Linked DNA regions of Canis lupus familiaris. The protein of the gene in region 2 purifies or fractionates together with the protein of the main gene of each other region. This does not show direct contact. Links are inferred from orthologs where the notes say so. Each region holds a gene or a part of one and is shown on either strand. Other genes may lie near its edges.

Region 1 (11,637 bases), on a different chromosome or scaffold from region 2:
GGAAGGCAAGGAGCCCCCGACAGGGGGGTGCAGGTGGGTGGAGCAGAGGGTGCAGCTCCCTCTGTGTGCAGCGGGCAGGGTGTGTGGGAGCCTGGGACCCCAGGGGTGACCTGCAGGGGCACCAGGGACGGGGCTGAGGAGCCGCCAGGCAAGGGTGGCTGGGCTTCCTGGGGGGCCACTCGGACTATCTCCCCAAGAGAACTCGGTGCTCCTCCCTGCAGGGAACCTGCTGCCCCCCGGGGCCCCCGCGGCCCTCAGAGCGCAGCCGGGTCAGGCTGACCTGTGACCGGGCCCGGGGGCCACGGAGCCGGGGTGCAGACTCAGGCCGCTGTGCGGGGGGCATCGGGCAGCTCCTGGCAGCGCTGAGGGGGCCGCACCCCATACCCCCCCGCGCTCAGATAGTGACCCCAGGGGTTTGCAGCCTGTATCGGGGTCACACCTGCACGATGTTCCCTGCTCTCCTCACGGCGGCTCAGACCTGGAGCCCCGAGATGCTCTGGGATGGGCGGGCCCGGGGTTCCCCACACAGAGGCCAGCCCAGGGACACCTGGGAAGGCCTGGGGGTGCGCTCAGGGCCACGGATGCCCCGGCTGCGTGGGCTCGGGCAGGGGCCACGTGGGGCTGGTGGTGTTCCCGGGACACAGGGCCAGGCCAGGACAGGGGAGGAGAGACGTCAGGGGCTGCGGGGACCGGGGCAGGGGGAGCGCTGGCTCCCAGCGGGCGTGCAGGGGGGGCCGCTCCAGGGCTGGAGGGGGCGCTGGTGGCGCTGGGGGAGCCCGGAGCTGCACACACCACGGAGGGAGCCACTCGGAGGCATTGGACACCCCACGGTGCACTTAACCCCTGGCACGCTGCACGTGTGAGGTCGCCGCCTGTCCCCGTGCGCAGACCTGACCCCAGAGATCGGCCCCCGCGGAGGGGCCCTGCGGGCCATGGGGCCTGCGGGGCGGGTGTCTGCACCTTGGCGGCCTCGCTGGGCGGGGGCTGACTGAGCAGAGCCCCCCGCTGTCCCCCCTCCTAGGCAGCGAGCCCTGTTCCATGTGCTGGCGGCCTACTCGGTGTATGACACCGTGAGTGTCCCTGCCCCCGCCTCCTGCCCCGCCGGCGGCCTTGTCCTGAGTGCTGGTGACCAGCGGGACTCACAGTCAGGGGCCCAGCTCCACGGCCCCCAGATGCCGGGGAGGGTCTCTCTCCTCCGGGACGGGCAGGGGGCGGGGTGCAGGCCTCCCAGGGGAGGTAGGGCCTGCGTGCCCGAGGGCCGGGGCTGCCAGGGGCCCCCAAGTGCACCGCGGCCGTCCTAGAGCTCGGGTCTGGACTCTGACAGACGGCACTACTGATGAGAACCCGGGCGGGGAAGGCTCCCACTCCCCTGAAGGGCACGAGGCCGAGGCGTCCAAGAGGCCGCCCCCTTCCACGGCGCATTCCAGAAGGGTCCCCAAGGACCCCAGCTCACACGCTCCCCGGCCCCGCGGGGTGTCCTGGCCCTGCTCCCCTCGTGGGACCTCCCAGGGGCCACAGTCAGGCCCCCGACCTGCCCTCCGGTGGGTCTCCAGACCTGGCGGGTCCCCTGCAGCCTGGCATAGCTCACGGAGGCCCCTCCTGCTGGTCTGAGGACGGGGGCCCTGGCACGGTGGCCACAGGGCTCGGTAGCTGGTCCTGGTGGCCCTCACTTACCCCCCTGCCCTCTGGGAGCCCCCTCCGGGAGCCCGGGCTGTGAGGGAGCCAGGGGAGCCTGACACCCGCGGGGAGGGATCAGAAAAGGCCTCGGGGTGCACGCCCTCCGTGGGGCTCTGGCTCTTGCAGGAGGTGGGCTACTGCCAGGGCATGAGCGAGATCGCGGCCATCGTCCTCATGTTCCTGCCCGAGAACGCCTTCTGGGCGCTGGCCCAGCTGATGACAGACGACAGGCATGCCATGCACGGTAGGGGCCCACCGGGCCGCCGGGCGGGAGAGGAGCTTAGGAGGGCCTCCCTGCAGGCTGCTGCACCTGGGGGCAGGCGGGGACCCCCCCAGCCCGCCCCCTCCACGGGCAAGAGCCCCGCCTCCCCGGTGGCCTCCGGGTCCCGGAGCCACGGCCACCCACCCCACCGTCTGCAGGCCAGGCTCGCAGTCCCGCTGCTCCCCCAGCCTCCCGCCCGGCTGCCTGCCCCCCAGGCCCCCCTGCCAGCCCACAGCCACACGGGGCCCAGGGGGCAGCATCTCCCCCTCCCGGGGGCCCCCAGCCTCACTCCCAAGCCCCACAGAGGGCCATGCACGCCCATCACCCTCCCCATGGCCTACACCCGCTGCCCCTCGGGGCTGGGGACCCGCCTGTCCCCGCGGCGGCCCCTGCAGGAGAGAGGGTGCTGGGTCAGCCGGGCCTGGTCCTCAGCCCCCAGCCCACGCCCCGCGGGGTCTCTGTGAGGACGAGGGTCCCCGGCCCCACACCCCCGGCTTGAGAGGCAGCCCTGCCCTCTGGGAAGAGCCGGTCCAGTCAGGGCTCCGAGGGCGGTGGGCACATGGGGGTCAGGGCGTGGGGGTAGGCCCCTGCCCCGACACCCCTCACCCCACCTGGTGCAGGAGGAGGCCCTGATCGTGGGGGCCTGGGGCCTTCTCAGGCTTCTTCGTCCCAGGCTTCCAGAAGCTCCTCAGGTTCCAGGCTCATCACCAGCGCGTCCTCCAAAGAGCTCTCCCCGACCTGAGGAAGCACATGGCACATGGGAGCTCCTGAGGTTCCGTCCCCGGGGTCCGGGGCAGGGGGTGGGGGGCACGGCCCTCCGAGCTGCCCAGAGTTGGGGTCACGTTCCTCCCCTGGGGCCCAGGGGCACCCTCGGGGCTGGGCAGGGCTGTGGGGAGCGCAACAACGGGCTCCAGGGGCTGCGGTGTGGGGCCTGAGCACCTCCTGCCCTCCCGCCAGGACGAGGAGCAGATGTCCACCGGCATCTATACCCCAAAGTGGTTCCTGCAGTGCTTCCTCAGCCGAGTGAGGCCCCCCAGGAACCCCGCTCCCGGACCTGCCCCCTGCCCCCGGGGAGGGCCAGCTCAGCCCCACCCTCCAGACGAGCCAGGCCGGACCCCGGGGCCCTGAGGCTGAGGCTCGCAGCCCAGCCCGTCCTGGAGAAGCCCAGAGGGTCCCTGGACGAGGTTCCGGGGGGCGGGCCGTCTCTGCCTCAGCTCCCCTGGGGGAGGCCAAGTCAGCCCGGGGTGTAGACGGGCCCTCGGCCCATCGGGCGGCCAGCCTGGGGTCCTCTCGAGGCGTGGTGTCGTCAAGTGCAGGCAGAGTCTGTGCCCCCAGGGGTGCGGGAGGTGCTGGCCGGGGTCGGAACCCGGAGCGGCCGGGAGTCCTGATCTCCCTGGGAGGAGGGCACGCACTGGGGGGGGGGGGGGTGCTGTGGTGCCTCGTTGGAGGCAGCCGGGGGGGCAAATGGCAGGCCTAGCTTAGCCCCAGCCAAGCCCCCCAGGGGCCCTGCTCAGGCCGCTCCTCCCACCCCGCTGTCCCCTAGACCCCCTTCTCACTCACCCTGAAGCTGTGGGATGTTTACATACTGGATGGGGAGCGGGTGCTCACGGCCCTGGCCTACACCATCCTCAAGGTGCACACAAGTAAGTGAGCCCCTGGGAGCCCAGAGGTGGGGAGGGGGCAGGGGCGGTGACCCTGTGCTCTGAGCAGCACCCAGACCTGGGGCGGGGGGGACGGCGGGGCAGGCGGGTGCAGTGGGGCTCCCTGAGAGGAGCAGCGGGCAGGGGCCACCCCGGCCAGCGCACTGCCCACGGCGCTCCTGGACACAGCGGGACCCCAGCCGCTGGACTGGGGGCACTAGGGGCCCCAGGGCAGGGCCTTCTGGGTCTGACTCTCACCCACTGCCCAGAGAGCCTCCTGAAGCTGCCCCTGGAAGGGCTCCGGGAGTTCCTCCAGGACTCTCCGGCCCAGCCCTGGGCCCTGGAGGACGAGGCGGTGCTCAGACACCTTCGGGCCTCCATGACCCAGCTCCGGAGGATGCGGTGCGACCTGCCCCCACCCAGGTGGGCTCAGGGCCCCGGCCCCTCCCGACTCGGCCTGCTGGGGCCACCCAAAGGGGACAGAGCCCCCGTCCTCATCTCTGGGGCTCTCCTCTTCTGCTCTAGCCTTGGGGACTCCAGGCTAGGGCTGGGCGGGCAGGCACCCACTGCAGGGCCCGGGCACCAGTGTGGGGGGCTGAGCACAGGGTCAGGCGGGGGGGCCACAAGGGAGCTGAGGACCCCCGGGGCCCCCAGCGGGGAACACATAGCCTGCTGGAGACGCTGACCCCGTCAGCCTCTTTCCAGCGGGACCTGGAGTTCCCCACGAGGCCCCTCGGCCTGAAGCGAGTGTCCCCGGCGCCCAGGCCTCTCCTCCCTTCTCCGGCCTCTGAGCCACCGCCCAGGGTGGAGGAGCAGGCCTCCCCGGGCCCAGCCACCCAGCCTGAGCCGCCCGGACCCCCTCCCAGCCAGGCCATCGTCCAACTTCCCCCCCAGCGATGGAACTCCCTCCCCACCCTCCCAGTGTAACAAGACGGTGCGGGCAGGTGGCCCCCGGACACGGTGGGCTTGAAGACAAAAAACGGGGTCCCCTTCCCTTCGGCACCTGCCTGGGCCACCCCAGAGGCCCCGCGACGGACCAGGCCCTGGAGCACCCCCGGGACTCCCATCACGGGGTCCCCCCAGCCCCCTAGGGACGACGCTGTCGGGCCCAGGACACCCTTCCTGCCCCGCGGCCACTGCAGCTCATGCCTCTCGCTGGGCAGTGACGGGCACAGCCAGGGCAGAGCCAGGGCGGCGCTGAGCCCGCTGCCCCGAGGCCCCGCACAGGCCCGGGACCCTCTGCCCTCTGCGTCCACAGGGCAGCTCAATGCTCGCGGGCAGAGCGTGGTGGTGAGTGCGGGGGCCCAGAGGCTCTGGCCCGCCGTCACCGTGCCCTGCCTCATCTTGCTGTCCCTCCCGGAGGGCGGCACCCCCCGCACAGGACACCAACCCCTGACCCAGAGGGACCTGGGCTGGCCTGGCCCCAGGCTCTGTGGGGGCAGGGGCGACTCGAGAACTGCCCCCCAGGCCCAGCACTAATGGGATCCAGTGCTCCGGGGCCCTGGCCAGGCCTGCGTTCTGGCCCCGGGCTGAGCGAGCCCTCTCAGAGCCGGATGTGGCCTCCTGGGCCCTGGGCGTGCCCCACAGATCCAGGTCACTGACCTAGGGCAGCCCTGGGGATCCCGGGACACCCCAGGGCAGGGCAGCAGGGGCAGGCCCGTGGGCCCCACCCGCACCCACACCAGGAGGCAGGCTCCTCCACGTGCTGGGGCTCCAGCAGTCAGTCACCCGGCCCCAGTGGGCCCGAGGCCGGGGTCCAGCTGCCCTGCGGGGACCTAGAGCAGGAGCCCATGGGCCGCAGGTCCAGGCCAGCTCTGCTGTCCCCAGAACCGCCTCTCAACACCCCAACCTCAGGACACACACCCCCACCCGGAGTCCGCACAGGCTCCAAAGTGGGCGACTCCAGCACCCGTACCCCCGTGGGATTCCCGCTTTCCTCTAAGGACAGGAAGGTCTCCCAGGGGAAGGCGCACACCCTCGGCTCTGAGCCCGTTTGCTGTTGCAAGTTCAATAAGGTGTTGTGTGAAAATGCACGGCCGGCTCGTTTCTGCGTCTCCCGGAGCTCTGTGCACGGGGTGTGGAGACACCCCCAGAGAGGAGGAGGGGGGACCTCCCGGCCCCGACCAGCCCCTGCAGGGGCGCCGCCAGGCACACACAGCTGACGTCCCCACGTGCCTTGCAGGTGCGGCCATACGCCAGGGTCAAGACCATCAAATAATTTACTGCGACTCAGCCTTTGCCCCGCGGGCAAGGACGGGACTGGGGGAGAGTGACAGCCGGGGGGGCCCGTGGCCTCAGTTCACGACAGTCTGTGCAAAGCGCCCTGGGAGGTCCGTGCTCCCCCTGTCCAGGGGGCCTGGGCTGGCCGGGCCCCGGGGGCGCTTCCTTCCTTCCTCGCCCTCCTCCTTCCTCCTTCCGCGCCTCCTCCCAGCTTCCGGCACCTCCTCGCCCCGAGCCTGTGCGCCTGGGGCACAGAGGACCAGCGGGGCTGCCAACGTGGCCCTGGAGGGGACGTCAGGACAGCAGGCACTTGCAGCTCATGCAGCCTGGGCCTCCCTCGTCGGGCGGGCTCAGCTTGCGCACCTTGTGCTGTCGAATCTCTCGCACCAGCGTGTAGAAGGCATCCTCCACGCCCTGGGAAGACGGGGCTGGCTGAGCGTGCGGCTCGGCCCGGGGGCCTGGCAGCGCAGGGGACCGAGGGACCCCAGCGTCAAGCTCATGCATCATCCCAGCTCCCCCTGGCCTCTCCCCACCCCGCCCCCACACAGGCAGCCCCAGGGCTCCCCCCATCAGGCGGCTTGGCCCTCAGGAGCTCCCCCACAGGGCAGCCCCGAGGTCTGGCTCCCAGCTCTAACATCCAGGGTCCCGCTCCTGTCTGACCTACCACCCTGGTCCCCCACAGCCCATTAAAGAGGGCAGGGCCTACACGGGCCCATGGGGCTTTCTGCGGGCAGGGGCCAGGGCCCCAGGGTCACCACTCGGCCTGGCTCAGGGCAGCTCTCTCTGGGGACCTCTGCCTCTCCCTGGAGCTGTGTCAGCCCAAACCCTGGGCCCCGGCCTCCCTCGCTGCCCTGCCGTCCGGGGACACTTACAGCGCTAGGGGCCGCTGGGTCACGGGGGTCCCGGAGGGTCCCAGAGGGTCCCGGAGCTGGAGCCAGAGCCAGACCGGCTGCCCTGTGTCGGGGGAGAGGGGGCAATAAGCACTGCTCCCTGGCAGGGGCGGGGCGGGGCGGGTCCCCAGCTAGCTGCGGGGTGGGGAGCCGGCTCACCTGGCGCGTCTTGGCTGACGTCTCGATGTAGGGGATGCCGTAGCTGCGGGCGAGGTCCTGCGCCTGCCGGGACTCCACGGTGCGAGCAGCCAGGTCACACTTGTTCCCCACCAGCACCATGGGCACGTCGTCAGAGTCCTTCACTCGCTTGATCTGCTCCCTACAAGAAGGAAGGTGGGAGCCAGTCGGTAGGCTGCAGGCACGGCTGCATCCGAGACCCTGACAGAGAAACGCGATGAGAGGCAGAGGAACAGGTGGCTCTGAGGGCCGGCCGGAGGCTCACCTGTACTGGTGGATGTCCTCAAAGGACTTGGTGTTGTTGATGGCAAATACACAGAGAAAGCCCTCCCCCGTGCGCATGTACTGGTCCCGCATGGCGCTGTACTCCTCCTGGCCCGCTGTGTCCAGGATGTCCAGCAGGCACGTCTCCCCGTCGATGACCACTTGCTTCCGATAGGAGTCCTGCGGCAGGCCAGTGCTTCAGAACGCCCAGCCCCACACCTCCGAGGACGGGGCCACCCAGCCACCAGCCCCTCCTAGGTCCCCAGGTGCCACCCCCAGGTCCCACGAGCAGGGGCCGCCCTCCTGCGGAGCCCACAGCAGACATGCCCACAGCAGGCTCAGGGCTGGGCGAGCTCACCTCGATGGTGGGGTCGTACTCATCCACGAAGTGGTTCTGGATGAGCTGGATGGTCAGGGCGCTCTTGCCCACGCCTCCAGCGCCCACCACCACCAGCTTATACTCCGTCATGGCTCCTCACGGGACGCAGCACAGGACGCCAACGAGGTCTCCTGTCCCACCTGCTGAGGAAGCTGCTCTCAGCCCTGAGCCAGCCCCGTGGGGCAGACCACCCCGGCCCCGACCCGGTCCCCAGGCCCCACACAACCAGGGAACCGGGCGCAGCCGCCCACCTGTGGCACCTCCAGCGGGGGGGGCGGCGGGGGGGGGGGGGTAGGCACCTCGCCGGCGCTCATGGCTGCGAGAGAGCAGGGAGAGCTGACAGCTGAGAGCATCTCCCAACCACGCACCCAAATTAGAAGTTGCTGGGTAGGCAGAAAGCGTGCACTGGAGGGACCCGGAGGCCCTGCAGGCTGAGATTACCGCCCCTCCCCGCAGAAACAGGTCCTGCCACAGCGGAGTGCAGCAGCGTGCCCGGGCAGGCCAGAGCCCCGCCGCGCCTCGCTGCACCGGACTAGCATCTGCGGAGCGCCCGCGGCCGCCAGCTGCTGCTCCGGGGGCGAGGCCCGGGCCCTCCTGTCCCGGGGGGAGCCCCAGGCCCGCGGCCGCTCGAGCTTCGCAGGAGAGCAGCGGCGGGCTGCGGGGATGGCGGCCCCGGGAGCAGGCCGGCGGGGTAGGCGCGGGGACGGCGCTGGGCCGCGGCCTCCGGCCCGGCTCCCGGTCTGGGAGGTTTCGGGACGCGGTGCCCGGGGCTCCGGTGCGAACGCCCGGCTCGCCCGCTGTGCATCGCGGAGGCCGCCCGCCGCCCGGGCCTCGGGGGCGCGCCTGGCGACCTGGGGGCCCCGCACGCGGCCCGCGGAGGAGAGGGCGCGGACGCCGCCGCCCGGGGCGCCCCCGCACCCCGCACCTCGCACCCCGCACCCGCCGCAGCGCCCGCCCGCGGCTCACCTGCGCCCCCGCGCGCCCCGCCGCCGCCGCCGCCTCCACCGCCCGGCGCCGCAGCCCCGGCCGCCCCCGCCCCGCCCCGCCGCCCGCCGCCCCCGCCGCACTCACCGCTCACTGGCGCGACTGCCCCCGGGGCCGGGGCCGGGGCCGGGGCGGGGGCGGGGAAGGGGGCCGGGGCCGGGGCGCGCGGCTCGCCCAGCGCATGGGCTCCGTCCGCGGAGGGTGCGGCTCGGGCTGCGGGCTGCGGGCGCGGGCGGGCGGACACTCGGGGGGGAGGGCGCGCACGCCCCGCCCCGCGCCCGTCCGTCACGCAGGCGCGGCTCGCCATTGGCCGCGGCCGTCGGGCCACGCCCCCGCCCCGCCCCGGCCCGCCCCGCCCCGCGCCGGTTGGCCGGCCCGCCCGCCCGTCACGGGCCGCGGCCGGGCGGGGCTTCCGGGAAGCGGCGCGGAGGGCGGTGCCCGGCCCCGGAGGCCCTCGTGGGCCGCGGCCTGGGGGGGCTGGGCTGCGCCCGCGGGCGCTCGGCGGGAGCGCGAGAGGCGCGGGCCGGGGCGGCGGCCTCCGCGGGGAGCTGCCCGACAGGACCGCGGGCGGCGGTGCACCGGGGCGGGGGCGCTGCAGACCGGCGGGAGCCCGTGTCCCGCGGTGGGGGGCTCCCTGCGCCGCGAGGCCCAGCGGAGGGGTCAGGCCGGGAGACGAGGCTCGAGGAGGGTCAGGGTCGGCGCGCCGGGCGGACGGCCGGGACGGGAGGCGGGCGCCGGGGCAGGCCGGGCCGCGCCCCGAGCTCTGGGGCCTCATGGCCGGGGCTCGGTGCCCTACACCCCCGTTCCCATCAGGTGGCTCCGGAACGGGCGCCTGGCACCTCGGCTTCGTCGTGCGCGCGGCACCCGGGGCGCCCAGGCCACAAGGGGCAGCGCGGCGCGGAGCATCGTTTGATCCCGCCCCAGGGGTCTCGCTGGGCCGCAGCCTCGCCCCTCTCCTCAGCCTCCCCCTGCAGGCCGGCCCGCCCAGCCCCCTAGCCCGGAGGCTCCGGCCCTGCAGACGCTTGCGCGGGGCCCAGTTAACGATGGGCCCTCTGCAAACCAGCCCGAAAGCTGCCCGAGGGCTGCGTGCCGACGGCTCCCCCATCCGGAGCGCGAACACGCACACCCCGCATCTTTTCCAGACTTTCAAAAAAGACGTGGTTTCGACATTTTATTTTAAATTTCAAAGTAGTGCATCAACACACCGTGCTTGTTTACAAAAAGGAAGAACGGTGCAGCCCGCAGGAGGCCCAGGCTGGCCCCGCTCTGGCGGCCCTGCCCGCCCTCCCGTCCTGCCCCCTCCGGTGCCGGCGCGCGCTGTTCTCGTGGAGCCCCTCCCACTGCAGGCCGTGACCTTGGCGGGCCCCTCGGGGGGGGGGGGGCTGCCCCGCCCGCACACATCGCCTACAGCACGTGCCGAGGCCGTGGCCGGTTGGCCGGCCCGTGCACTGCGCGGTGGCTAGGACAGAGCCCGGCGCCCGCTGACGCGCACAGACGCGGAGTCAAGGAGCGGCAGTGAAAGCGAGTGGCGGCGTCCCCCGAGAGCGCGGACACCCCAAACCCCTCCCGGTGTCCAGGTCTGCATTTCCCTCGTCTTCGGGGGCGCTTTCCTTTTGTTTTGGCATCGCCACCCTTAGAGGAGGGGGTCCCTCCCGCAGGGCCAGGGCCGGGAAAGGTGGGCGCTGGGCTCCGCCTGATAACCGCCTTCGCGGGCGCTGACACCCGGCCGGTCCGCGCTGGTACCCCGCCCGGTGGGGCCTCACCTCCGCCCCGGCTCCCTCCCAGCCCACGGGAGCCCACGACGTGGGGCCCTACCCTCCGGGCCCCGAATGCGCCCGCGGTCGCCCCGCCCCCGGCCTGCCCTAGCAGCCGTTGCTAAGGGGCGTGGCTCGACCGCGGAGCCTCGGAGAGTCCCGCGGGCTCATGAATATTTGAGCATTCAAATAATGCCCCGGCCCCGTTGCCATGGCGCCCAGGGCCGCAACCCCGCCACCGGAAGAACGACCCCGAGTCGGAAGGCGCGCCCCGCGGCGGAGGGCGCCCGGCCCGTGGCACCGAGACCGACCCCTTTGGTGAGAGCCCAGCACACCTTTGGGCCTGGGGCCTCAGGCCTCGCTGCACCTCCCCCGTGCCTGGGGGGAAACTGAGGCCGATGGCTGCTCCAGGATGAAGCAGCAAAGCCAGTGGGGGCTCAGCGGTACCCCCAGATGTCCAATCTGGTCTCCAGGGGCTCAGCCCACGACCGGTAGCCGGGCTCCGAAGAGTTCCCAGGCCCCAGGGTAGGAGGGACCCCAGGCTCTGCCCCTGCAGGAGAGGAGGAGGTGGCGACCCAGACTCCCTTAGTGGGGACCTAGGAGAGACTAGGCCCTGCCCGCAGCGCCCCTCCCTCTGCAGCGAAGGGGGGAGGCGTGGAGTGGACCCAGATTGCTGCTGAGCCAGGCCAAGGGCTGGCATTAGCCTGGGCCACGGAGGCAGAGAGGCCACCCGAGTGGCAGGCAGGGTGGCCGCAGGGCCCCGCGCAGCATGGACAGGTCCAGCCAGTGCATGCACGTGAGGGGACAGTGCACGTGCAAGCTGCAGCCAGCGACCCAGGCCCTGCTCCTTGGACCCGAGACTTTTGGGGCCGGATGGGACCGTCCGCTGGGCCCAGTCCAGGGTAGGACCGCTGGTCGGCTGCTGTGAGGCACAGAAGGAAAGGGCGGCGGGCTTGGCCCTTCATGCTGCCCACGGGCCTCCTGGGGCTGCAGCCAGACCAGCCCCTGCACTCCCCACACCCCAAGGCTGGCAGGCCTGGGATGGGAGCGGGCAGCGTAGTCCCAGGAGGCACGTGCTGAGGTCCCCAGCCAGGCTTGGGGCTTTTCGCCCACTGGAGAAAGGCAGACGGCAGAGGAAGCTTCTGGAAAGAAATCCTGGCTGGAGACCCGATGAGTCTGTATGGTGGGGCTCACCTGCATGGCCTTCACCTCCTTGGATCCCCGGTGTATGGGTCACCTTCCAGATGAGGCCACTGAGGCACACAGAGCCCGCGCAGCACCCCTCCAGCGCCTCTGTCAAGGCCCAGCTGGCCACCCCCCAGCCCAGGCACGATGGAGAGGGTGCGGCTTGAGTGTCTGCAGGGCCCGAGAGATGAGAGCAGCACTGGCG
Region 2 (11,691 bases):
CTGCCGCACTTCCTGCTTGATTTGCTGGGCAAGTTTCCTTCCAGAGATGATGACAGCTTCATCTCTGCAGAATGCAACAACAGTCACAAAACCAAATAGCTTAAATTTCTGGGAAAACTAAAAAAGATCAGATTACAAAAAAAAAAAAAGTTATTAACTACCCCAAACTTAAAGAGTAGATTCAAACACATGGTCCCTAATCTGAGGGACAACAGAAATCTGAAGGGCAGTCTCAAAGTGACAAATCTGTGTCTAGCTACTTGTTCAGAAAGATAACGTTGACTGACATAGTTACTAGCATTACCCTGAAGCTTGAAGAGTTTACGTGAGTGAAGGCTAGTACTTGGCAAAGCTGGGTCTCATATCCAGCTCTCTCTGAATCCAGAGTCCAGGCTCTCACCACTATACCATCCTGCCCCCTGCCCCCTGACAAAATGATAGACGCCGCCCCCCCCTCCGCCAAGTTTCCCACTGTTTTAATTTGCACTGTTTTATTTGACCCGTCACCACTAAGAGGTTAATGGTGTTTCCTATATGCTTATATACCATTTTGTAGTCTGTGTTTTGTACATGTTATTAGCATCCAGTCATATGTTTCAAACCATTTCCTAGTTAAGTCAATTGGCTTTGAGTTTCTGTGATGCTTTCACATATATAAATTATGTCATGCAATTAAACCAATAAACAATATTCTGGACAGGCCAAACCTCAAAATTACCATTGCTCCCCACAGCCCTCCTAGAGAAGACTTTCCCAGTGAGAATAAGGGCTGGCAGGGGACTAGAGGAGGTTCTATCCCATGGGTGGCAGTGTGCTCTACCCTGGGGCCCTGGTAGCCACAGACCAGGAGTATCTGACACTAGGGACAACAATTTCTAGGCAGGCCACTGGTCCAGCTGGTGCAAAAGCTCACGGCAACAGCAGCAGTGGTAGGTAACTAGACTGATAAGAGCTTCTCCCCGAAAGCTCTTCACATCCACACACTCAAACCGGAGGACTTGTTGGTAGGAGAAGCTGAAGAAAGCCGTAGAAAAAAAGTAGAAACAGGGGATCCCTGGGTGGCTCAGCGGTTTGGCGCCTGCCTTTAGCCCAGGGCACGATCCTGGAGTCCCGGGATTGAGACCCTCATCAGGCTCCCGGCATGGAGCCTGCTTCTCCCTCCTCCTGTGTCTCTGCCTCTCTCTCTCTCCCTATGTCTATCATAAAATAAATAAATAAATCTTTAAAAAAAAAGAAAAGAAAAAAGTAGAAACAGAACAGCGATCACGCTCATAGTAGATGGAGCAAGAGAGGTGGAAACTGCTATTGGAGGGGCAACGAGAAAAGTCAGGGTCTGAAAGAACCTCCAGTTCCCAAAACCATGTTCAGACCTCTGAGAGGCCACTGCTTCCCAACAGGAACTGTTTATGCAGCTCTTCCTGGGTTCTAATGTGGAAGATTCCTGCCTTTCTTATTTCCATACATGTCCTTACAAGTTCCCAATACTTCATGTGCGCTAAGCACCTGCTCCTTAAGCATAAAGCTCTCAGTGGAAACAAGTCTTTCCCTTTAGTTTTCAGTCTCAGTATCAATGAAGGATGCTTCAACCTCAAGACCAATGAGACACATGATTGTCTGAAATATTAAGAAAATTTCCCCTTATAGCACATATCCAATTCTCAGGGATAACACCAAGGTACTGGTTATCTTGTATGGTCAGATAGAATTCTTTTTTTTTTTTTAAGATTTTATTTTTAAGTAATCTTTACACCAAGCATGGAGCTCAAGCTGACAACTTTGAGATCAAGAGTAGCACACTCCACCCATTGAGCCAGCCAGGCACCCCACGTATGATTCATTTTTAAGACCACTGTTATTTAAAATGGAATTTTAAAGCTTCAACAGTCTTTAAACCTTCCATGCTTCTTTCCATTAAGATTAAATACCTATTTTAAACCAGACTGAAATGTCTTAGATATAAAGGGGTAATTTCATATCTAAACCTTATATTAATTTGTATTTATATCTTGGGGGTAGTAAAAAGATAACATTTTATAGGAAACCAAGTACTATTACCCAAATTTTATGTAATAACACAAGCATAGCACAAAATAGATAATAGCATTTCACATATACACATGGTATATAAGGAACTGAAAACATGTTAACATTCGCAAATCTATTTTAGATTTAGAGTTGAAGTGGCTTCATTCAAAGGGCTTTGGATACAAACACCTCTAGCAACATTCCTGGGGAACAGCTCCAGTCCAGAAATGCATTCCCAACCCTGGAATGCTGTAGAATGAAAGATTATTTTAAAAGAGCTTACGACAGGGGATCCCGGGGTGGCTCAGCGGTTTAGCGCCTGCCTTCGGCCCAGGTGTGATCCTGGAGTCCTGGGATCGAGTCCCACATCGGGCTCCCTGCGTGGAGCCTGCTTCTCCCTCTGCCTGTGTCTCTCCTTCTCTCTCTCTCTCTCTCTCTCTGTGTCTCTCAAGAATAAATAAAATCTTTTAAAAATATAAAAAAAAAAAATAAAAGAGCTTACGACAATGATTTATACTGAATGAAATAACATAAAGTACAAGGCACATATATTCAAGAAACATTAATTTCTTACTCTCTTTCATTGGTTAGATTTACACACATGCATATCCTTAATATAGCATATATATATTTACTTACACACTCATAAGGATATGTGTGTCTTTAATTGCATTTTCTTAAAAAGTTCCTTTTAAGGGGCGCCTGAGTGGTTCAGTTAGTTAAGTGTCTGCCTTGGGCTCAAGTCATGATCTCAGGGTTGTGGGATAGACACTACTCACCCCCCCATATGGCTACAAGCTGGTTCCCTCTCCCTCTGCTCCCACCCTCCCCACCCCAGCACTCCCTTTCTCTCAAATAAATAATTAAAATATTTTTTTAAAAATCTGAAAGCAATACACTTAGACAAAATGGTAGCAGCACATTTGAGCTAAGAATGATATACTAAAATTAAGAACACAGGGTTCTGGGAGAACCCAGTGTTCCAAGTGCCAAAGGCAGGTTCTGGATGTTATGCCAATTAGCTTTTAAAAAGCTTGTTAGAGAGCAACAAGAACCAAAAACAAAGCCACAACACAATGAGTATCTTCTCTAATATAAGGTGTTTTAGCCCTCCTCTACATATACAACTCTGCAAAATGTGAAACACAGTCCTGCCAGTGAGTCATTACCTAATTTCCCATCATCTCTTTTGCCAAAGGGCAGATAAAGCAACTGCTACCCCAAAAGAAAGAGAAGAAGAGGCTCACCACAGTCCCACAGGAAATCCAAAATGTATTAACTATACTAGCTAACACTTATGTAGGAATTAAACGCGTTTCACGGATATGTTTAATAATTGATTAAAATTATGAGTGAGAGGGGATCCCTGGGTGGCTCAGCGGTTTGGCGCCTGCCTTTGGTCCAGGGTGTGATCCTGGAGTCCCGGGATCAAGTCCCACATCGGGCTCCATGCGTGGAGCCTGCTTCTCCCTCTGCCTGTGTCTCTGCCTCTCTCTCTCTGTCTGTGTCTCTCATGAATAGATAAATAAAATATTTTAAAAAAAATTATGAGTGAGAATAAAATAAAATGAATGAATAGACTAGAAAGAAGTTGCAAGGACTGTTCAAATAAAATTAAATCCAACTCAGTAGCATCTTCACTTTTTTAATTCAATAGCTTTTCAGAGCACTGTAATCTTCCATAAAAAATTAATTATCGGGAGTGATAATTAACTGAGCCTGGGTGGCTCAGTCAGTTAAGTGTCTGCTTTTGGTTCAGGTCATGATCTCAGGGTCTTGGGAATGAATCCTGCATCAGGCTCCCTACTCAGAGGGGTGTCTGCTTCTTCCTCTCCCTCTGCCCCTCCCCCTGTTTGTGCTCTTTCTCTCTCTGCCTCTCTCTGTCTCTGGCTCTGAAATAAATAAAATATTTTTAAAAAATTAATTACCAGGTGCAATTTACAATTCATGAACAGGTTATTCTAGAAAGAGTTCAGTTATCTACTAATTAATGGAACCAGTAATGAGTAAAGAAAGATACAAAGGGGGATGCAACTAATATCCATTAAACACTAGGTATTTTGCTAAGAACTTTACACACATTAGTCTCACTTACCTTAGGCTATTATACTAACTCTGGCATACAAAAGGGGAAAGTGAGGACTGTAGAAAGTAAGATTCAAACACAAACAACCCTCTGTCTCCAAAGTTCCATTTTCCCCTACACCCCAGTCTACTATAGCACTAGCTCTCCAACCAGGAGTCTATGTTCCTGAAACCCTCCACCACCACCCCCAAAAGGAATGCATGCAGACTCATAAAAGATATTATTGTTTTACATTTCCTAGCCATCAGTGATCAAAGCAATACAAGGAAACCATAAATACCATAATATTGCCTTCAGACATGAGGAAGCCTACTAGTTCATTCAGAAACACAAGTGAAAGGAGGGCATTTGTTACTGAAGAGTGAACAAACTGGTCCAGTTTTCTAGGTGATGAATTAGAGGATCTTTAGAAATCTCTTCAATCATGAAAGCCACAGGCACACGAGGCCAGAACTCAGGAAGGGAGCTTCGGGGAGGAGAACAGACAGTAACGGGGGATGGGGCCAGGAAGACAGGTCAGGGTCAGAACAAAAGCCCGGGTCTTCTTTCAAGGACACCTTAATCCGCATGCTGTGCTACAACAGCACAGTGGCAATGCTTCTTGTAACATTTTTTTTTTTTTTTACACTGAATGGAAAGTACACACGTGTTCTAAAGGGAGTTCCACTAGGAGAAAAGACTTACGATGATCCCTGAATTCACACAGCCTAGCGCAGTGCCTGGACGGAAGAAGGGGCTGCTGTTACAAGGCTCAGCCCACTGGCAACGCAAGGCTCTAAAGATGCGCGAGAGAGTGCGCAGATTTAGGGAGAGAAATCACAGGCCCCCAGAAGGCTCTTCAACCTAGGTTTAAGAATGGGAGTTCGAGGTCTGGAAAAATGGGAAAGGGGAAAAAAAAAAAAAAAAAAAACCAACAACCTATGACCTCGCTGAGAAAAGGCAATCAGAGCTCGCTCTCTCCTCCTCTCGGGTATTTTTCCCTTCAATTTACTCAGCCCGGCGGGGACTAGCTCCGGGTGGACCGCATCAAAGCCCTGGAGACCACAGCACATTTATTCTCTCGGGAGGGAAAGGGGCCGCCTGAAGAGCAGCGGGAGCTACGTCCACCTCCCGAAGGAGGAGGGCAGCGCGGGTAGCGGGCGAGCAAGCCGGCTCGCGGATTTCATCAGACTGCACCGACTCCCCCCGCCGCTAGGATCCCGGCGCGCACTCGGGGCTGCTCCGAGAGCCCTTCGCGGCGCTCGCCCGAGCCGCCAGCGACACGGCCACGGGCGGCCGGCGCGTTCTGGCCGGTCACCTCCGCACGCCGCCGCGTTAGTCTGGGCCTTACCGCGCCCGCCCGCGCCTTGGCTCGCTCCGGGGGCCCCGTCCCGCCCACGGACTGGCCCCGGGAGAGGGCGACGCCCCGGGGTGGCGGAGACCCCTTCCCTCGGAAAGGATGGCTCCGGGCATCCGCCCGCCCGACGGAGCGAGCGCCCGGGTCGCAGGCTGCGGCCGCGCTCGGCTGCCACGTCGCCCCGTCGCCGCCCGGGACGGAGATGCTCAGCCGAACGTCCCTCGGCGCCCCCGGGAGCCGGGGCGGCCCCCCACCCGCGGCTCCCCTCGGCTTTCGGCGCCGACCCAGCTCCCGCACCCTCTTACCGAACTACCGAGAGGTGGAAGGGGCGATGGCGGAGGCGGCAGCTCCGCGCCGGCCGGAGGAGCCGGATGGCCAACGTGGACGCGATGGAAACAGCAGCCATCACCCGCGCCGACGTCCGCCCCGGGAGAGAAGCGCGCGCGCGGGCCGCGCGGTTATACCGCCGCCGCGTGGCAGGCCCCGCCTCCCGCCGGCACCCATTGGCCCCTCCCAGCAAGGCCCGGCTTGTGATTGGAGCAAGAGGAGCCAGCCGCGGGGCCGGGGAGGCTCGGAAGCTTCGGGAGCCCGCAGTGGTTGGCTGAGGAAGGCAAGCCCCTGCCCGACACGGCCCGCGTCCCCAAGCCCGGCCAGCGCCGGCGAGAGTTGGTTCATTCATCGCTGGAACGAGTGTCGGAGCGCCTGCCGCGTGCCAGGCGCCGTAAAATAGGGGATAGAAACACAGGCGGATAGAAGAGTGATGCAGTTACAAAGAAACTGTTTGGCAAAATCATAGTGAAATCATAGCGACGTCCATCATCGATGGATGTCAAAACAACTGGATCAAACTGGATGAGGAACAAGGTGATGAACTTGCTGGGTTATGCCAGATCTTGCAAGCAAAAATGCAAGACACTCCATTAAATTTGAATTTTAGATAAATAATTTAGGAGGAAGGGTCATACTTGTATTAGGGTAGCATTGGCTGTATTAGGGCACCCGGGTGGCTCAAGTCGCGATCTCCTGGTCCTGGGATGGAGGGATCTGGATTGAGCCCCACTGCGGGCTCCCTGCCCAGCGAGGAGCCTGCTTCTCCCTCTCCCTCTGCCCCTGCTCGGGCTGTCTCGCGCGCTCACTCTCTCTCTCAAGTAAATTTTTTTGAAAAGACAAAGGATGGTATTCGATGGTCATCTGCAATTAAAAGTAAACTGGGCTTCCTGTATTTTATCTGGCTATCCTTTTTGCAGAAGGCCTTCCAAATAACATGAACAGTCAATTAACATATTTTATATGTATTATATCATATATATTTTTACAATAAAGTAAAAATAAAGTGTTGAAGAATCTCTCCCACAAAATACTTATTAATAGTAAGGGGGGAAATAATAAACTTACAACAGGGAAACCTGAAAGTCGTAACCTTTTTTTTTTTTTTTTTTAAGATTTTATTTATTCACTCATCAGGGAGAGAGAGAGGCAGAGACTCTGGCAGAGGGTGAAGCAGGCTCCAGTGCAGGACTGGATCTTGGGACTCCAGGATCATGCCCTGGGCCAAAGGCAGACAGATGCTTAACCGCTGAGCCACTCACACGGCCCTGAAAGTCATGACCTTAAACAAGAGGTGCAAATTACACCATCATTAAGGAGACAAACACACAATATGGTGCATTAAGGAGGACACATCAATTCATAACTCTTAACAAGTCTGAAAATTGAACGAAGTGGTTTTTCTAAACCATTAAGTTCCCTAAAAAATGTTATAAATTTTTCATTTACACATCGAGAGGGGAGAACACAGACCTGGAATATTAAAACAGTCCAGGAAAAAGCCATATTCCTGAAATTTTGGAATATATTATTAGATCTTAATCTAATCTCGAGGAAATATCCAACAAATCCAAACTGAAAGATATACTACAAGAAAAGCGGCCTGTACTCTTTGAAAAAATGTCAAAGTCATGAAAAACAAAGAATGATGTACCGTTTTAGATGACTCTAGACATGACAAATGTGTGATTTGGGACCAAAAAATTATTTTTCTTTTCTTTATTTCATTTTTCTTTTTCCTTTCTCTTTGCTTAAGGGATATTACAGGGCAATTAGCAAATATTAATAAATCTGTAGATCAGCTAATAGCATATCAGTGTTAATTTCCTGCTTTAGCTAATTATATTGTGATTACATAAAAGAAAGTACTTGCCTTTAGAAATAAAGGGACATCATGTCTTCAAATGGTTCAGGAAATGTGTATATATATTCTATATATATCCTACTAGTATCCTACTGTTGACCAAAGGCCTTCCAAATAACATGAACAGTCAATTAACATATTTTATATGTATTATACCATATATATTTTTACAATAAAGTAAGCTAGAGAAAAGAAAACATTACCAAGAAAACCACGAGGAAGAGAAAAATACATTATAGTCCTGTATTTATTGAAAAAATTCTACATGGTAACTCAAGCAATTCAAATTTAGGTGGTTCAAGGGTCACCCATATAAATATTAGTTTTTTAAGGGTGTCACTACAGAATATCACAGACTGGGTAGCTTAAACAACAGAAATTTTTTTAAAAAATTATTCATGAGAGACACAGAGAGAAAGGCAGAGACATAGGCAGAGGGAGAAGCAGGCTCCATGCAGGGAGCCCCACGTGGGACTCGATCCCAGGTCTCCAGGATCACGCCCTGAGCCAAAGGCAGATGCTTAACCGCTGAGCCGCCCAGGTGTCCTAAACAACAGAAAATTATTTTGTCCCAGTTCTGGAGGCTGGAAATACATGATCAAGGTGTTGGCAGGGTTTGTTTGTTTGTTTTTTCCCTTGAGGCCTCTCTCCTTGCCTTGCATATGGCTGCCTTCTCAGTGTCCTCACATGGCCTTCTCTTTATGGCAGTACACTTCAGCTATCTCTCTCCGGATGTCTTAATCACCTCTTCTTATAAGGACACCAATCAGATTGGATTTGGAGCTACTCTAACCATCTCATTTTAACTTCATTATGTTTTTGAAGGCTCTATTTCCAAATACAGTCACATTCTAAGGTACTGGGAATTAGGGATTCAACAAATGAATTTGGGGGAAGGCACAGTGCAGTCCATAATGATGTAGATATATAAAGAGAGAAACCGAGAAAGCATATGGCAAATGTAACATATTAACAACCGGGAAGTAGGTGAAGAGCATACAAGCATTCTCTGAACTTTTCCTGCAACCTTTCTATGTGTCTGAAATTTTTTCAAAATTAAAAAAAAGAAAAAGACCAGTGGAGGCACCTGGGTGGCTTAGTTGGTGAAGCTACCAATTCTTGGTTTCAGCTCAGGTCATGATGTCGGGGGTCCTGGGATCAAGCACACTTCTGGCTCCATGCTCAGTGGGGAGTCCACTTCAGGATTCTTTCTCCCTCTTCCCCTCCCCACCACTTACCACTTGGTTACTCTCTCTCTCTTTCTCTCCTAAATAAATAATAAATAAATAAATATTAAAGAAAAGAAAAGAACAAGTGAAAAAAGAAAAAGACCAGTAAGATTTCTACCCTCATGGCACTTAGGGATAAGGTAGACATACAGTGAACAAGAAAAGAAGGTAAGAAAAAAAATGTGGTACTGAGAACCCTCAAGAGGGCAGATGTGAAGGACTGTGTAGGTCAGAGAGATACGGGAGAGCTTGATTCTTGTTTCACAGAGTCGAAGAATGAATCTCATGGACAACAGAGAGTGAGTAAAGCGATAGAAGTTTATTAGGCAAAGGGATCCCTGGGTGGCGCAGCGGTTTGGCACCTGCCTTTGGCCCAGGGCGCGATCCTGGAGACCCGGGATCAAATCCCACATCGGGCTTCCGGTGCATGGAGCCTGCTTCTCCCTCTGCCTGTGTCTCTGCCTCTCTCTCTCTCTCTCTGTGACTATCATAAAAAAAATAAAATCTTTAAAAAAAAAAAAAAAGAAGTTTATTAGGCAAAGATAGAGAGAAAGCTCTCAGAAGTGAGAGGAGTCCTGACAGGGTTGCCACTGAGGGCGTTTAGTGGCAGTCTTGGATTGAGAACTGATTACAAAGCTTGTGGCCTTGAGATTCTTGTGCAGTCTTGGTTTGAGGAAGGACTATTTGATAACACCTTTAATGACTTACTTCTTTGTGGTCTGGTGAGTTTCTATGATTACTTGGGAACCATCAAGGGGAGATACTCCCTAAAATTTTGGAGCTAGGGAGCCAGATTTATTTTTAATTTTTTTTTCTCTGTTTTTGCTGCCTTATCTCTGTTTCATTGGGATGGGTAAGAGCCTGACTCTGGGCCTTTTGGTGTCCTTGGGATTTATGGGAGCCCAGAGATTTATGGGATCCCAACTTTGGGCCTTTCCCTTATCTTTCTCTGCCTAGCCCCATCTGTCTCTAACTCAAGAGCATGTCCTACAGATTTTAAGACTGAGCATGATGACTTGTAGAACCTGTGCCCAGACAGCTATGATGAGGAGAGCCTTCTAGTTGCTTCGACCTTTCAGCAGAGGCTGTGAGGAGGGAAAGGAACCAAGCGTGTCTGGATACCTAACCCTCTCTCAACACTTGGAAAGTTTTGGAGATTTTGGAATTTCCCAAAGTTTGAACTCTTAAGAGTGAAGCTAGAGAGCATTATTATATTTTTAATACACTTAACACAAGGATTTACTTCTATGCTCCCAAGAAGTAAATGATATTGAAAGGACATTCCAATGATATTGAAATACCATTCATTTGACAAAAATACTTTATGCTCTGATCTTTAGTCCAATTCTGTGGGGTGCAGGTGCTCAGGGCTTTCTACCAGTTGGGCTCAACTAGCTTTTCTACTCTACTCTTCCTTTGCCCTGCCCTCCACTGAGTACTTTCTGTACTTCTACCCAGTGTTAGACCAGCCTCTTCTCTCTGCTCCCAAGAACTGCTACTGTTCATCCCTCAAGGCTGTACCCTCAGACTCCCTGACTTAAAAGCTGGGCCTGTGGGTCTTCACTTTACATGGCCCCAAATGTATCACTGACACATAAGGAAGACTCAGGACCACACACAGGTAAAATCACATTTTTGCGCCAACACAACATGGATTGGCAGAATTAATTGCCCTCTCCTCTGGACTATCACAGCATTCAGAACTACTCCAATCCTATTTCAGCCCTTGGAATGACATCTTGATATTATCTGTGCACCTATCTCCCCCAATACAATCTGGGCTCATTTATAATTCCTATCTTATGACTCATCTCATTCATGCAAGCACAAAGCATAGGAATGACCAAACATCTATTAATAATCATTCTAAAAATAGCTCTCTTTACTGAATACTGGCAATGTGTCAGGCACTGTTTTAAGCACTTTGTGTACATTATCCCGTGCAATTCGCACACTTATCCCATGAAGTAAGTGCTATTACTATCGCCATCTTACAGATGGGGGAAATGAGACACAGGAGGTTTAAGAAATACATCCAAGGTCACAGAGCTAGTAAGGAAAGGGGCAGGGATTGAACAGGCTGCCTCCAGAGCTCCTGCTCTAATGTTAGCTACCACTTCTCAAGCACTTATTCTGTGCCTGGCATGAGATTCAACACCATCTTCTTTAATCCCTACACCCTTACTTATGATTCCCATTTGAAATAAGAGAACTGAGACTCAGAGGACTTGACCACACAGCCATGAAGTCACTCATCCAGCAAGCCCAGGCAGGCTCTACACCCTCCGGGCCTGACCTGCCTCTGGCCCTCCACTTCATGCGGGCCTGAGTGTTTCACAGATACTTCAGGAGGAAACCAGACTGCACACAGGCAAAATCCTTCAAGAGTAGAAATGGGTAAGATGGAACAGTTGGGCAGAGGCGGTCATAGTGGTGAAACCCATGAAAGCCGGCAGCTCAACTTCCATAGTGTTCCATGTCTAGAAGGAACCACAGAGCTCACAAACTCCAGTTCATTCCACCATTGGTCAAACTTCCACTTTAACTAACTGATCTGAAGCAATCAAGAAACCTTTATCATTCCAGAGCACTCTTTAGGTAAGAATTATGTCAGACACTGAAGTTTCACTCCTTATAATCTGGAGCCATAATTAGTATACATGCACCAGGCTGGTCATTGCAATTGTAAAAATATTGGGAATATTTCCGTCCCAACTGATAAAACTGGTTCTCCCAACTCCCTTGATTGTCTATCATTCCCTAGGAGCCCTCCCTAACGAAATTAATATTGACAAGTGGACCATGACCCTGCTTCTACACTAGG

What was found.
Region 1: the proteins of MTHFD2 (region 2) and HRAS purify together in Homo sapiens (co-immunoprecipitation; 4 studies listed by BioGRID and IntAct, with this or other methods). This does not show direct contact. The link is inferred for Canis lupus familiaris from reciprocal best matches to the Homo sapiens genes MTHFD2 and HRAS.

What each region holds. Positions count from the first base shown.
Region 1 is NC_049239.1:25,988,285-25,999,921, forward strand, and holds HRAS (GTPase HRas), read right to left. Parts: upstream 7,655-11,637; 5' UTR 7,600-7,654; coding exon 7,489-7,599; intron 7,311-7,488; coding exon 7,132-7,310; intron 7,009-7,131; coding exon 6,849-7,008; intron 6,762-6,848; exon of another isoform or gene 6,754-6,761; coding exon of another isoform or gene 6,691-6,753; exon of another isoform or gene 6,214-6,690; coding exon 6,094-6,213; 3' UTR 5,781-6,093; downstream 1-5,780. Other genes in the region: uncharacterized protein LOC119864195, read left to right, coding at 1,804-1,921, 2,560-2,681. UniProt on the Homo sapiens protein: Involved in the activation of Ras protein signal transduction. Ras proteins bind GDP/GTP and possess intrinsic GTPase activity.
Region 2 is NC_049238.1:49,392,177-49,403,867, forward strand, and holds the start of MTHFD2 (bifunctional methylenetetrahydrofolate dehydrogenase/cyclohydrolase, mitochondrial), read right to left. Parts: upstream 5,906-11,691; 5' UTR 5,854-5,905; coding exon 5,753-5,853; intron 65-5,752; coding exon 1-64. UniProt on the Homo sapiens protein: Although its dehydrogenase activity is NAD-specific, it can also utilize NADP at a reduced efficiency.